Linked DNA regions of Ovis aries. The protein of the gene in region 2 purifies or fractionates together with the protein of the main gene of each other region. This does not show direct contact. Links are inferred from orthologs where the notes say so. Each region holds a gene or a part of one and is shown on either strand. Other genes may lie near its edges.

The links.
Region 1: the proteins of PTPN1 (region 2) and ABCD3 purify together in Homo sapiens (affinity purification with mass spectrometry; 3 studies listed by BioGRID and IntAct, with this or other methods). This does not show direct contact. The link is inferred for Ovis aries from reciprocal best matches to the Homo sapiens genes PTPN1 and ABCD3.

The regions. Positions count from the first base shown.
Region 1 is NC_056054.1:71,536,019-71,544,043, reverse strand, and holds the start of ABCD3 (ATP-binding cassette sub-family D member 3), read right to left. Parts: upstream 4,387-8,025; 5' UTR 4,316-4,386; coding exon 4,206-4,315; intron 1-4,205. UniProt on the Homo sapiens protein: Broad substrate specificity ATP-dependent transporter of the ATP-binding cassette (ABC) family that catalyzes the transport of long-chain fatty acids (LCFA)-CoA, dicarboxylic acids-CoA, long-branched-chain fatty acids-CoA and bile acids from the cytosol to the peroxisome lumen for beta-oxydation.
Region 2 is NC_056066.1:78,593,992-78,600,778, reverse strand, and holds part of PTPN1 (tyrosine-protein phosphatase non-receptor type 1), read right to left. Parts: intron 5,726-6,787; coding exon 5,516-5,725; intron 5,222-5,515; coding exon 5,060-5,221; intron 4,686-5,059; coding exon 4,459-4,685; intron 2,729-4,458; coding exon 2,542-2,728; 3' UTR 1-2,541. UniProt on the Homo sapiens protein: Tyrosine-protein phosphatase which acts as a regulator of endoplasmic reticulum unfolded protein response. Mediates dephosphorylation of EIF2AK3/PERK; inactivating the protein kinase activity of EIF2AK3/PERK.

The DNA.
Region 1 (8,025 bases), on a different chromosome or scaffold from region 2:
TGGGGATGAGAATGATTACAGTTAGACTGCAACGGCTGGGCAGAGCCCATCCCGCTCAGAGACTGTTAATTTCATATGGCTGGCTGAGTATGTAGCAGAGGACCAGATCACGACACCACTCTCTCATGCTAAGAATTCTGTATTTTAGAATAGCTGAAAGAGTTGCTCCAGTACTTTGGCCACCTCATGCGAAGAGTTGACTCTTTAGAAAAGACTCTGATGCTGGGAGGGAATGGGGGCGGGAGGAGAAGGGGACGACTGAGGATGAGATGGCTGGATGGCATCACTGACTCAGTGGACGTGAGTCTGAGTGAACTCGGGGAGATGGTGATGGACAGGGAGGCCTGGCGTGCTGCGATTCATGGGGTCGCAGAGAGTCGGACACGACTGAGCGACTGAACTGAACTGAACTGAAAGAGTTGAATGATGAAATAACACGACCATATTTGTGTTTCTTAAAAAGAGCTCTCGTGGCAGTGGACAATGGATGGAAAGAGCACGACCATGCCTCATAAAATGCAACAAAAATCTGATAAAGGCTTCTGTTAACATTCAATTTATCTCCAGTCATTCATTCCTACCCTCATTCTAGGCTTAGCTCATATCCTTCAGAAAGCCTTCCTTAGCTCTTCCCAACCATATTAATCTCTTCTTTCAGAAATTTCTAAGGCCTGACTGTCTGTACACTGCATTGTCATCATCTTACCTTTTTGACTAATTCACACTTAAAGATGTCATATATTTTTTGAATGTATGTGTGACACACCTCCATCCCACAGCACCTAGTGTGGTAATACATTATGAAACAGAGAATTCCTTTGAACTGAATACATGAGTCTCCTTTATCCATGAATAAAATGATTCCACTAATCTCCATATAAATAATAAACAAATAAGATGTATGACTAATCAAAACTAGGGTGAAAAAGTTAGTACAGTGGTCATATAGAACAAATACGAGGGAACTTTCTGGGGAGATGAAAAGATTCTAATTTTACGAAAGGAATGTGTTAAACTGTTGCCATCTATTTATTTTAAAAATACACAGGATGTGTACAGCTCAATATATACAAATTTTACCTAAAAATCTTTAAAAAAAAATAAGGGTAGGGAGCAAGGAGCTATAGATGAAACAAGAATGATAGAATGTTGACAGTACTTTTTGTGTGGAGTGTACGGGGGTCCACAAAATTATTCTGCCTACTTTGAATGCATGTGAGATTTTCTGTAATAAAAAGTATATTTCTCCCAGTCAAATCATATATAACTAAAAAACTACTCAGAAGATTAAATTACTCATTCTCCCAATGTCTGGAATAATGTAACATTGTATCTTGATTTTACTATCTTTATTACCTATCTGGTTCTAAGGAATATCTTCTAAGACAAATCTGTCAATAGCACAGACAAGCTATAAAGGTCAAGCAGTCACAATTTCCTTAATTAGGTACTAGATGGTAAAGTTAATTAGCCCTGTTACCGAAGATACCCAAAAAGCCAGTAAAATATAAAGTTACAATTTTCTAATCATCAAACTATTGAAGGAGGAAACAGACAGAACAAGCTCCATCTTGAAAGCAGGACCCCCTCTTGGGCTGGACTTGTGGACTGAGCTATATGCCCAGTTATCTATGGAAACGACATACCAACTGGAAAACCAGACCCCCGGGATGTAAGAGCCCCAGGGCTAGTACCTAGACTCTCCATAGCCTAAAAGAATATCCTAATTATCTGTGTAACCAAACAGAATCATAAATTTTATTATGCTTATTGGGGTATGGCCACAGGCCTATTGATAATTGTCCACTGTTAATTACCGAGGCTTAAGGCAAATGAATCCCAGATTAACTTTGACTGTATCTTTCTTTTCCTTTGTTCAGACTAGTTTCAGGGAATTTGGGGAGGTGGGTTTGGGCATGTACACTCAGGGTATATAAGGTTTTCACAAAAACTGGTTGGGGTCCTTGGCTAAGAGGAGACTCTGCCTTGGGCCCGCCAGTGTAATAACTGCACTCCACTATCTGCCTTGTCCTTCTGAGTGAGTTTGCTTGCTGGAACAAGTGGCTGCAACACTATGATGCCAAAGACGGCAACTGAAAGATATCCAAGTGATTCTGGAAGTATATTATCTACAAAGATAGATTTGACACCATTCTTCATGACTTTAAAATAATTCAACCATTTTATTTCTGTAATTTAAAATTCAAGCTTATCTGCTCATAATTTGCATTCCCCTCCCACAAACTATTTAATGCGTAAAATACAGATATTCCTTAGTACTGTACCGCCAGTGCAAAAAATTAACAAGAATCTTTTGTTTAGTAAATTAACTGCTGCATAGTTTAATCCCCTCCAAAGTTTACAAAATTTCTCAAAAAGAGATCTATACAGCCTTTTACATTAATAATGCATAAACATCCAAAATTATTTACTAAGCCAGACTATACCATACTGTTTTGCTATTATTACTACTATTTCCCATCTGATTATGCTTAAACTTTCCCTCACTCAATTATCTATGGCTTTATTAATCAGGAACTACTTTAGCTGTGACTGGAAGGGACCTGAAAGACTTGGAGAGTGTTTCTGGGATGCTGACAATGTTCTTAACTGGGTGCAGATCTGAGTGATGATTACATGAGTGAGTTTCATTTGTGAAAATTCTTCAAGCCCTACACTAACATGTAACTTTCTACAAATATGTAATTCTACAATAAAACAATGTTTTTACTTTTTAAAAAAATCATAAAAGCAAGCCAGAGCTGTTAGGGCAGTCCTCAAATCCCCCTCTCCCATAATAAAACACCTGTTCCATGTGAAATACTTCTCCACAAAAGTGTAATTGAAAGTTATCTTACAACATTCAATATTTTCTACTGGCATATTCCCAGATAATGCATAACTGCCATTGGCAACTGGGAGCTCAGAAAACATACAATCTCATCTACAATTCTGTTTACATTTTCCAGAATAAGTCATTTTAACAGCTAACTGGATAGAAGAAAAAGCTCTGTACTGTTCTGACGAAGATGCCAATCATTTTCAACTTTGTTAAGCAGATTTACAAAGGAAAAGAAAGGCCACTACTTCAGACTTTAATAAGATAAAGAAATCAGGGACAGGGGAAGGTTTAGGAAGAACTTCATGGGAAGGAAGCCCACTTGTCAATGTTTTAAACCAACGTCTACTACTAATCAGACATAATAGGCAAATCAAAAGAGAAGTCAACAATACCTGCCCAAAGAAATGAATGAGATAAAATGTATGAAAACACGATGCCAAGATTCAATATGAAATATCCAATACTTTCCAGGCAAGCATGCTTGACATAGCCTTTTCTCATTCATTTGCTGAAGCAAATAAATTATATCTATAACCCCACAACAAGTAACTCAATTCTCTCTTCCTTCTCTAATCTTATAATCTCCCAAAGTTAAATTTAAACATTAAAATTCTCGAAGGAGAAGCAACGGCGTATAATCCAAAGAGCTCCTAACCCTTATCTAAAGCACACTTGCACCTTCCACCTGCGAATCAGGAAAGGGAACCTTGCCCTCCAAATACCTCGGAACCCATTCGGCCTTTTCGGCTGAAATGCCAGGGCGTCCATTGACCAACTCCAAGGGGACAGCACTTTAGAAAGCAACTTTGAAGTGGATCCGGGATAGTTCACAAGAACCATCCTAGCGACTTTCAATGGCAACTACTAAGGATTCATGCCAAACCTCACCCACTGACTTAAAACAACAGCCTCCAGCGTGTGCGTCCAATCCCCATCCTCAAATCACACATAACCGTCCACAAAGCAAACCCACTGACAATCAGATGAGATGGCAAAACTGCAACACACCCAGAAAGTTGATGCAAAAAAGGAGGTGGTGGAGTGGATGTAAAAAGGGGAGGATATGGGGGGCGACTCCTCGGGTCAGAGGCACAGGTTTGCTAGCGGGTGCAAGAAAAAGATTCACACCCCCGGGGACAGAGTAGGCGACTGGACAAGCAGGCGGAGCGCAGGGAGCACGGAGAACTCCCGCGTCGCGGGACACCCGGACACCCTGACATTGGAGCCTGGCAGCGCCCGCGGCCAGCCCCGGCTCCACTTGACCCCGCGGGGCAAAGGGGATCGTCCGCCGGGCGAAGGAGAAGAGCGCCCGGGGAGCTCCAGCTCGGGCCCGGGAAGGCGGCGCGGCCACGGGCCTTCTTACCTGTGCAGGCCGAGGGCGCGGCGCCGCTTGTGAAGCAGGCAAAGCAGCAGGAACGTGGCACCCGCCAGCGAGGAGTTTCGCACGGTCAGGTACTTGCTGAAGGCCGCCATGGCACAGCCAGCACGAGCGAGACAGGGAAGGGACCGGGGAGGCGGACGCAGCAGCGACTACCGTAGTGCAGGAAGCGCGAGGGAGACTGGGAGGAGAGGAGCGCGCCGAGGGAGGGCGGTGCCGACCGCTCAGGCCCGCCCCCTGGCGCGCGCCGCCGCGCCGGCCGCGCTCCGGAGCCCACCCCGGACTTTAGCTCGGCGGGAGCGCGCGCAGGCGCCACAGGGGCCGGAACAGACTCGCTCTGCGCACGCGCCTACCCTCCTGGGTTCGCCGGGCACGCGAGCGCAGAGACGCCCCCTGAGGCTCTATTTGCCGCTGCTCGCTCTTAACAATCCGTCTGTGTATCCCGCGGTCTCACCCTTACCCCCACCTCCGCGCGCGCACACACACAAGGCTTTCACAAGAACTGGAAAAGCGGGCCTGGGCTGCATCAGGGGCTTGTTGAGACTCACCACTCCGCCTCCACTGTTGGGCAGTTACCATCCTCTTAAAGGAGCCAGGAAGAAGGGGACCGGCCCTATCACAGAACCTTTACACAAAACAGAGGGCGCAGTAATCCTTTAGAGGAAAACAACTGTAGGAAACTCTCAGAGGTGTACGGAAATGTGGAAAGACTGACTACAAATCAAAAGTCTTTTTCCAAGCCAGTGTTTTCTAAACCATAAATTATCACCTCTAGGGGATTATATATCGGTTTGGTAGATGGAGACCATCACTTTTTTTTTTAACGAAATATAGAAGAATAGAACAATCTCAGGGTGCTTTACGTGTAATGGAGTTGTTCTGAGAAATGTTTATACCAGTCTTTTGGATCTGTGTGCCCCGAGAAGTGAAACAAAATGTATTACTTAATGTGGCTCTAATCAAACACATTTGAGAAACACTATTCTTTGCAGAGGGACATTCAGCCATAACAAGAGTGCATTGTGATCATGTTGGCCTTACTCCCGGAATAAGAAGGGCATTAGAGATTACAGCATTCTTCAGCTAGGGCCTGTGATACAGAAATCCTTAGCATTTAGACAGCTTTGTACAGTGACTAGTGAGTCCCTGTCTTTAGTTGAGGAAAGGAGAAAAAATCAAGTGTGTCAATCAGAAAACAAGTTCCTATATTAAAGTAGCCCATTTGAAGTGGCCCACAAAACAGTGATTTCCTAAGGTGTTTTCTCAATATAAATTGGCAATTTCTTGATACAGATTACAAGAATCACTCAAGAAGGCAAAAGGGAAAATTACTAGTTCATTTAAAAATTGCATAGCATTGTGAAAGTGTTAGGGACTTGGGAGAAAGTGATTATCATCTTGGAGCTCCTAGCAGTGAAGAAAGGGCATTCAAGGTTAATCCAAAATATGTCTAGTTAGTAAATAGATTTTATTTAAAAAAAAAAAAAGATACATTTAGGAAGTAGACTATAGTTCAGAGAAAAGACATGAATGATTCATTGGGCAAGATATTCTAAAAATACCCTTGTTCAAGATGCATCAGTGGACTTCCCTGGTGGCCCAGTGGATGAAAGTCTGCCTGCCAATGCAGGGGAAACAGGTTAGATCCCTGGTCTGGGAAGATTACACATACCTCGGAGCAACTAAGTCCATGAGCCACAACTTCTGAGCCCAGGTGCTGCAACTACTGAAGCCCACGTGCCTAGAACCTGGGCTCCTCAACAAGAGAAGCCAGGGCAATGAGAAGCCCATGCACTGCAATCAAGAGTAGACCCCGCTGGCGGAAGGGATTGTTAGGGACTTTGGGAAGGTCATGTACACATTGCTGTATTTAAAATGGACAACCAACAAAGACCTACTGTATAGCCATGAAATTAAAAGACGCTTACTCCTTGGAAGGAAAGTTATGACCAACCTAGACAGCATATTAAAAAGTAAAGACATTACTTTGTCAACAAAGTTCCGTCTAGTCAAGGCTGTGCTTTTTCCAGTAGTCATCTATGGATGAGAGAGGTGGACTATAAAGAAAACTGACCACCAAAGAATTGATTCTTTTGAAATGTGGTGTTGGAGAAGACTCTTTAGAGTCCCTTGGACTGCAAAGAGATCCAACCAGTCCATCCTAAAGGATATCAGTCCTGGGTGTTCATTGGAAGGACTGATGTTGAGGCTGAAACTTCAATACTTTGGCCACCTGATGTGAAGAGCTAGCTCATTTGAAAAGACCCTGATGCTGGGAAAGATTGAGGGCAGGAGGAGAAGGGGATGACAGAGGATGAGATGGTTGGATGGCATCACCGACTCAATGGACATGAGTTTGGGTGAACTCTGGGAGTTGGTGATGGATAGGGAGGCCTGGCGTGCTGCGGTTCATGGGGTCGCAAAGAGTCAGACACAACTGAGCGACTGAACTGAACTGAACTGATAGCACATGGAACTCTGCTCAAAGTTATGTGCCAGCCTGGATGGGAGAGCGGTTTGGGGGAGAATGGATACATGTATATGTATGGCTGAGTCCCTTCCCTATATATTTGAAACTACAGCAACATTGTTAATCAGTTACCCCAGCAGAAAATGTTTTTGGTGTTAAAAAAATAATAATTTTTTTAAAAAATCGAAAAAGAGTAGCCCCCACACTGCAACTAGAGAAAGCAAAGATGATCCAATGCAGCCAAAAAATAAAATAAATAAGTAATTTTAAAAAGAAGCATAACTGATTCTTAAAAATGAAATTAGTTAAATATGAGCTCAAATAATTTTATCCCATCATATAAATACCACCAGGGAAAAATCTGTAACCCAACCAAGTTACGTTTACTAGTTTGCAGCAGCAAAGGAAACCACAGAGCAGAGGAAACAGAGGAATTATGGGTATGTCTCCAAAAAACGGAGGAAAAGTGGATGGTTATCATATTAGGGGAAAGAAAGAATTTAGGTAGACTAAATGAAACAGTACTTAATAGCCTCAGAGCAAATCAGATCTATATGTAAGGGAATTAATATCAGACCTGCATCGAGAAGCAGACTAGGGGATCTGTTTCTTGAAAGGTAAGATTAATGTAGAATAGGCTTGTGTGTGCTAAGTTCACTTCAGTCGTGTCCAACTCGTTGCACTCTATGGATCGTAGCCCACCAGGCTCCTCTGTCTATGGGATTTCCCAGGCAGGTACACTGGAGTGGGTTGCCTTTTCCTCCTCCAGGGAATCTTCCTGACCCAGGGATCAAACCCAAGTCTCTTTTGTCTCCTGCATTGGCAGGCAGGTTCTTACCACTAGTGCCACCTGGGAAGCCCCTCACTAATAGGAGTTCCAAACAATGAAGTTTCTGTCAACCTAGGATTTTAGAGACATTTCCTTAGTACTGTATCCTTCAGTAATTAACCAAAGCAAGTTTTCAGATTCATACTTTGTAATTTTTTTAATGTGACTTTATTGGGCAATCTCCAGGAGCTCTGATTTTTAAAGAATTTGAACTATTGAGAATAGGGAAGAGAGGGGTATATGGAGCTAAGGAATCTAGAAAACTTCTTGAAGAGATAGAGTGATAGCCTCCAGCACTTTCCTAGATGATTCTTGCTTCCTGGTATTCATACCTTTGTGTAATCTCCCATATATAAGGGCTGATATGTGTGAAAAAAAAAGATTATGGCAAAGGTGATGATATGTGACTTCTGAAATCAGATCATGAAAGGTGTTGTCCTTCCTGCCTTGGTCTCTCAGATTGCTGCTGCTGGGGAAGCCAACTGCTGCAAGGAACAAACAGCCCT
Region 2 (6,787 bases):
TTCTAACACGTGAAAGGCAAAAATGTGAAAATGCTGGCAAAAGAGCAGCTCGTGAGCCACAGCTGCCTTTTATTTTTTCTTGATAAAAAAAGCCACTGAATGTGGAGGTCACAGGTTCCCCCCGACGCAGGCGGAGTCCTGAGCACCATCAGTCCCCAGAGTTCAAGGTGGGGGCAGACGCCTCGTGCAGCAAGGCACCCGGACCTAGAGGGCCCCAGGCTGACTTGAAGGGACTGTCGTACAGGCTGTTTCAGGAAGGGCGGTTTCCGACAGTTGCCGTGGTTCCAAATCACGGTCCGCTCAAGGCGAGTATGAACTTGGGCGTGGTGGAGGCTGATCCGAAAGGTGCGTGTGTGTGTGGGGGGGGGTGGGAGGGAGGACCCTGATCCTCTACATGTCCAGGTGTGACCATGGCTCCCCATGCCCTTGGAATGTCTGAGCTACAGTGGACGCAGCTGGAGCAGGACAGGCTGGGCCTCACCAGGAAGTCACCAGAGGGTTGTGCCAGGAATTAGGCAACTATCTGTTACTGGAAAACGTCATTCCACTGCTGAATGGCGACTATTTCAGCAACAGTCTTAGGAACCACAGACATGTAACGATCAGACCGTGCAAAGGGAAACTGGACTTATACATGGGGCACGCTAGTCAGCAGAGCGCTAAGTATTCCAAGCACGTCGTATCTGATGGGGACACAGGAAGACAGGACATGCATCTTAATACACACAGGGGGAGTGGTGGCTGAGGTCAAGGTTGAGCAGGTAACTGGGGAGATGAGGAACTGGGACAAAGGAACCTCACACCATGTCTTAAATAGCCAAGTGTCCATTATACATTATCCCCTTGCTCTATGAACACATGCAGACTCCTTCTCGAGCACGCCACAGCATTGCGACACAATGACAGCTCCCAGCCATCCTCCTACTGGGCACTGGTCTACGTGGAGGCTTGCGGTGAAGTCTTCCGTTCCCAGCCCGACCTGAGGGTTTACTGCTGTACTTTTGGATAAAGCCCTTGGTGCAAGGCTGACATCCAAAACCTTGAACATGTTACTGGTTTAAGAAGATGCCAGTGCACTGTGGATGTCTTCGGGGGAAACAATGTGAAAATAAATATGGAGTGGAGAGAGGCGGTGGGCCCCCACGTGAGACTCGGCCCTGCTGCCCACCCAGGCTGCCCTGCCCCATGCCATGGGCACAGCACCCTCCTGTGCCCTCCTCAGAACTGGGCCGTGGGTGTGGTCCTCCAAGCAGGGGAGGGGGAGGAAGGGGAGATGGTGCAGCTGAGACCAAGCGCCCAGGAGGGCCGCTTCAGTGCAGACCCGCGGCTCGCGGGCGGCTGCGGCCTTGCCTGTAGCCTCACCCACGGCGGCTGCCCGCCAGGCGGACGAGGCTGGTGCTGGGTCAGGCTGTGTGTCACTGCTGAACAGGAACTGAAAAGAAACCAAGCATTTTCAGACAAGCCCGGCGCTGCAGAGCTGCAGACGCATGCACACCCTGGCTGCCCCCGCCTCCCATGAACAGTTTGATTTTTCACAGGAGCTCTACCTTCCCCAAAATCACCTCCAAACAAAAAATTGTTTGCATGCTGCTAAACCACTGGATGCAAAGACGGTTGCTTAGAAAAGAGGTAAAATGTGAAAAACCAATAAAAAATGAATCATCTTGGGAGGTGATTTTCGTGACTGGAGGTTTGAGGCTCCTCCTCGACCTTTTCCTTAACTTGAACAGTGACACATTCCAACTGGGGGGATTTCTGCCGAGACAGGATTCCTATTCCGAGCCGAGCAGTACCTGCTCCATCTGGGTCTCAAGGCCTGGGTGGAGGACCGGCGGCCGCCCTGTGGTGACCTCTGGCCCCAGGGGACCCTGAGTGGGGAGCCGCGAGGGGAGGGCTGTGTGGGGAAACGGAGGCGGGACACCCTGAGCAGAAGCAGAAGCCAGGTTCTGATTTCTAGAGACGGCCTTCGCTGCTCTCCTTCTCCCAGTAGGGGAAGCCCGCAGCAGGGGCTGTGCTCAAGCCAGACGGGGTCCGACTCTCAACCCTCTTCGCCAAGGGAGTTTACATTCGTACATGTGTGGGAGTCTTTCCCTGGGAAATCAAATAAAAACTGTATCTGGTGAGGCCACCTAAGGGCACAAGGCAGTTTCATAGGTGCCTGGTCTTTTCTCCCCCCAACCCCAGAAATAACAAAAAGCTTCTTTTTATAAAGGTTAAAAACAACAATGTGTTGTAATTCTATTTTTTTTTTTTTTTCAAAAATGAACAAAAAAAAGGAAGAGAGAGAGACGTATTTGGCATTTCCTCTACTTACTCCTGAATAGGTTAAGGCCCTGAGATCAGACTCCTCCACTCCTGGGGCCTCAGCGCCTCCAGTCCCCAGTGCGCCAATCCCCAGTCCTCTCCCGTTAGCCCTCACAGTTCTAGACTCTGAAAACCTCTGGCCTGCTTCTTCCGGACGGGCTCAGGGCCTCCCCGGCACCGAGCGCCGCCGCCGGGCGAAGGCCAGGCTTTCTGCAGGCGGTCTGGCCAGCACGTCCGTCAGTGGAAACAGACCCTGTAGCAGAGGTACGCGCCGGCCGTGAGGACCGTGGCCACACACACGTTGACCAGGAAGGGCTTCCAGTGGCTCAGCGGCTGGTCTCGCTCCTCTGCAGGCGGCGATGGCTCCCCCTGCGCAGGGTCTGCGCCCATGACCCGCCTTCTGACTTCAGTGTCTTGACTCGCGCTGAGGAGTTAAGGGGGCAGAGAAGGGTTACTCGCCCGGGAAGACAACGGCAAGGATGCTATTATCATGGGAGGAACTGTAGGGGATGGAGGGCCCTGGAAACGGCCTGACAACGCAGACACTGGCTGGAAGACTGCCTGTCACCACCTCCTTGCCAGGGCCTGACTGCAGGGCCAGGGCAGGGGTCCGGGGCGAGGCCTGGGTGCGTGCGGGCTCCCCCCGGTGCAGACACTCAGGAGTTTGGCCTGCTCCATGGTCTCCTGGCACCCTCTGGCTTTCAGTGCCCAGATCCACGCTTCCCTGCTCCTCACTTTCACCCATGGAATGTGGAGGGCACCTCGCCCCACGGTCTTCATGAATGAAGAAACAGGACACGTGACCCCGACGTGGCACAAGCCGTGGGCCCCCTCCGTCTCTTGCCCGCGGCCTGCGAAGAGCCCTCAGGGGGAGTACACTGTCCACTCTCGAATGTCAGCGGAGGCCCCGGAAGCCGGGCACAGCCTCCCGCACTCGGGCTCTGCTCTGGGAGGCTCCCCCGGACAAGTGTCTCTAGAGCCCCAGAATGAGAGGTGCACAAAAGGCCCTGGGAGTGGGTTCATGGGCCAGGACTCAGGTCTGGAACCAGCATTTGGCAAAGTAACCAGGGAAGATCTGGATGGTACGCTTAGCCGGAGGGCACACACCGCGTGCAACCTGCTCACTCCTGCATTGACGTTCCCAAGCCCGGCCACAAGAATACACCCTGATCCTGCCTTTCAACAGCTGCAGAGCATTCAGCACAGGGGGAAAGCCCTCCCGATGCGCTCCCTGGATACACCATCAACCCACCTCTAGTTTCTCACCACTACAGGCCCTGCATACACAATCGACCCACCTCTAGTTTCTCACCACTACAGGTGATGCCACCATGAACACCTCTGCCTACACACCTCTGCACTCCACACGCCTGCTGAGAACTGCTGCAGGCTGAATCGCAAGGTGCAGACAAATGTGAGGGCAGAGTGGGCGCTAATCTTAAGCTGCCCTCTGAAACAGGAGGCACTGAGGGCACTGCTTCCACGAGCTCAGGCTGATTCCTGTCCACCCTTCAAGCTCCGGCACAATGTCACCACCTGCAGGCAGCCCTCCCTGACCTCCCAGGAAAGGCTGGGTGGCTCTTCTCTAAGGCTGACCACCTCAGCGTGCGCCTCCAGCACAGTCCCATCCATGGGGCCCCCACCACAACCTACTGTGCCCTTTCCAACAAGATGGTCCAGAACACAGATCAGGGGCCCTGCTCTAATTATCTCATTTCTCACAGGCACAAGTAGGTGCTCAGTAATCTTTGTCAAACCGTAAGGAACAAAAACGACAATCAAAGCTACACGAAAAGGTTGAGTTCTAGGGGCTGGAGGGACGTGGTCAGGCCTGGATATCAGTTTCAGGACCTGCCCGAAGCGCGGCTCCTGTTTTCTGTCGCGTGGACACTGGGCTGGAGACCTGACGGGAGCCCCAGTTCCCACAGGCACCACCAGGTGGCGCCAGGCCCCTGCTGCAGTCAGTCCCTCTCCCCAGCCAACCTGCGCTCAGTCCAGAGGCTCCGCCCACCAGCCGAGGTGCAAGGCTGGTGCAGGGGCCCCTCTCCCCGTCTCCCCGTCTCCGTCTCCGTCTCCCCAAGGACACAGAAGTACCAGTTGCCAAGAGAAGGCTGCCCGCCCCTGCCCCCTCCAGTAAGCCAGGACCATCTTTACCTTTCCAGGCTGCAGGGGGCGTTTAACGGGGCTCTGGTTGCTTCCTTGATGGGGCCGTCTTCTTTATCCTCCTCCTCAGTGTCATCCTTTACCCACTGATGGTTGGGGAAGAATTCCTTGCACTTCCCGTTGTGTGGCTCAAGGACTCGCTTGGGGGGCCGGGGAGGTGGGGGGACGTGCTCAGGTGGGGGCTCCAGATCCTCGTGGGAGAGCTCTTTCCATTGCTCCTTGAAAAAGCAGCAAGAGGAAGATTTCACGGTTGGTGATTTGTCAGGAAATCTGCTCCCTTTCAAGTGAGGAGAGGTGAGGGCTAGGTGAGGGGCCTTTCAGCTTCTCGGGTCTCCAGCCGTGTCCTTGGAAGATGAGATCTTTGGAAAATTAGGTCTAACTTCCCTATTAATGCTCTCTGGGTGAGCACTTCAAAGAAACTGGAACATGGTGACAATTCCCACAACTTTCTAGCTAAACAGACTTAAACATGAAGTCTAGCTCTTTCCCCTGACACATGACATTATTTCAACTTTGACAGTGAACAGCCTCCTTCTTTAGAGGCAAAAGTTTAAAACCAACACACTCGGATTAAAGCAAAAGGAATGCTGACCTGCACCGAAGAGTCTCCCATGATGAACTTGGCGCCCTCGATCACAGCCAGGTAGGAGAAGCGGAGCTGGTCTGCTGTCTGGATCAGCCCCATCCGAAATTTCCGCATTTCTAACAGAACTTTCTTGATATCAACAGAAGAAGGGTCTTTCCTTTTGTCCATCTGAAAGCCAGAGAGGAGACACAGCTGAGCAAGGTCTGGGTGTCAGAGGCAACATGACTGTACACGTCCTAGGGGAGCGTGAGGAAGAGTGTGAGGGAAGGGGATTCTCTGGCTTTAAGAGCACTCCTCCAAATGAAGCTGTTTACGGTAAAGCTCCCTTGACAGGAGGGAAGCTGCTAGAAAGTCAAGACCAAAGCAGACTGACCGCAGACAGTGATAGAGGGCCGCGGCCAGGCCAGCCTGGCGGTCACTGCATGCTCCCTCTGCTTCCTGCGGTCTTGAGGGATGTCTTACCAGCAAGAGGCAGGTGTCAGCCAGGCAGAAGGTGCCCGACCTGCCGATGCCGGCGCTGCAGTGAACCACAATGGGGCCGTGTTCACGGCTGAGCGAGCCCGACTCGCGGACTTTGAAGAGAAAGTTCAGAAACGAGGCCGGCGATTCGGGGACTCCGAAGTCAGGCCACGTGGTATAGTGGAAATGTAAGATCTCTCGGGTTTCTCGAGACTGAAAGAGAAATACACATGTGATGACTCTCAAAGAATCACCTGAGAACCACTGACTTCAAGTAAGTGTGAAGTGCCTTTCGACCCGCCCGCCTCCACGAGGAGCTTTCGTTCCCAGATTCTCTCCTCGGGACCGCAGACTCAGCGGACAAGGCCCGAGCCCTGGACAGGCGCTAGGCTGCTCCTGCTTCAGCTGCAACACTTTCGCCCCCAGGAGCCCTCATCTCGACGCCCCTCTCCCTTCTGCTGTCTTCAAGGTCACAACTGACTTCTCTCCGTAAGTCAAAGTGCTGCTGCACCACCGCCCACAGCAGTCTTGTCATCAGCGCCTCGGGGTTTCACATCAAAGAGTGGAAATGTAACCACACGTGAGGGGCACCAGCTCTGGGGAACCCGGGGCTTTACAAGATGATCCGGACGTCTCAGAGGACTGTCATTTTACAGAAAAAGGTTACTGACTCGGTCCCCAAAGACTGGAGGCTGCACGTGTGGTTCAGTCCCTCAGCGAGGAGGGGTGCCGGTAAGACCAGCTGGCCTGGCCCCCACTGAGCGTCTGCGCTCCCACGCTGGGCGCCTGGGCTCCCGGAGCTCTCGCATGCCACCCCACTAGCCCCGTTACTCCCATGTTCCAGATCAGAAGCCTGAGGCTTGGCAGGCACCGCTCTACTAGCAGGGGGGCAGGAGTTTCAATCTGAGTTGCCTGACTCCAGAGCCCGCGTCCACAGCCTGCTGTAGGGACCCTGAAGGTGGACCCTGACGCTTGCCCCCGAGTGTGTCTCCTCGTGGCCCTATCAGCTCCCAGGCGAACTGTGAGGACGGCCTCTGGGGCTGATTCCAGCTCTGCTCCTCTGAGACTCCACTCCCAGAGTGGACAGCGGGCTGCCAGGGGTGACGGTCAAACCGTGGTTCTCACTGAGGAGAGCCCTCAAACCAAGTGCCCACAGTCACGGGAGCCAGTCACGAGGTAAGTAAGGCCTGAGACAGGAACCCCACCAGCAGCGTGGAGCCAAGGGCCACGCTGGCACCCAGGTCGCCTGCAGAGCAGGTGATGGGGAAACACTGG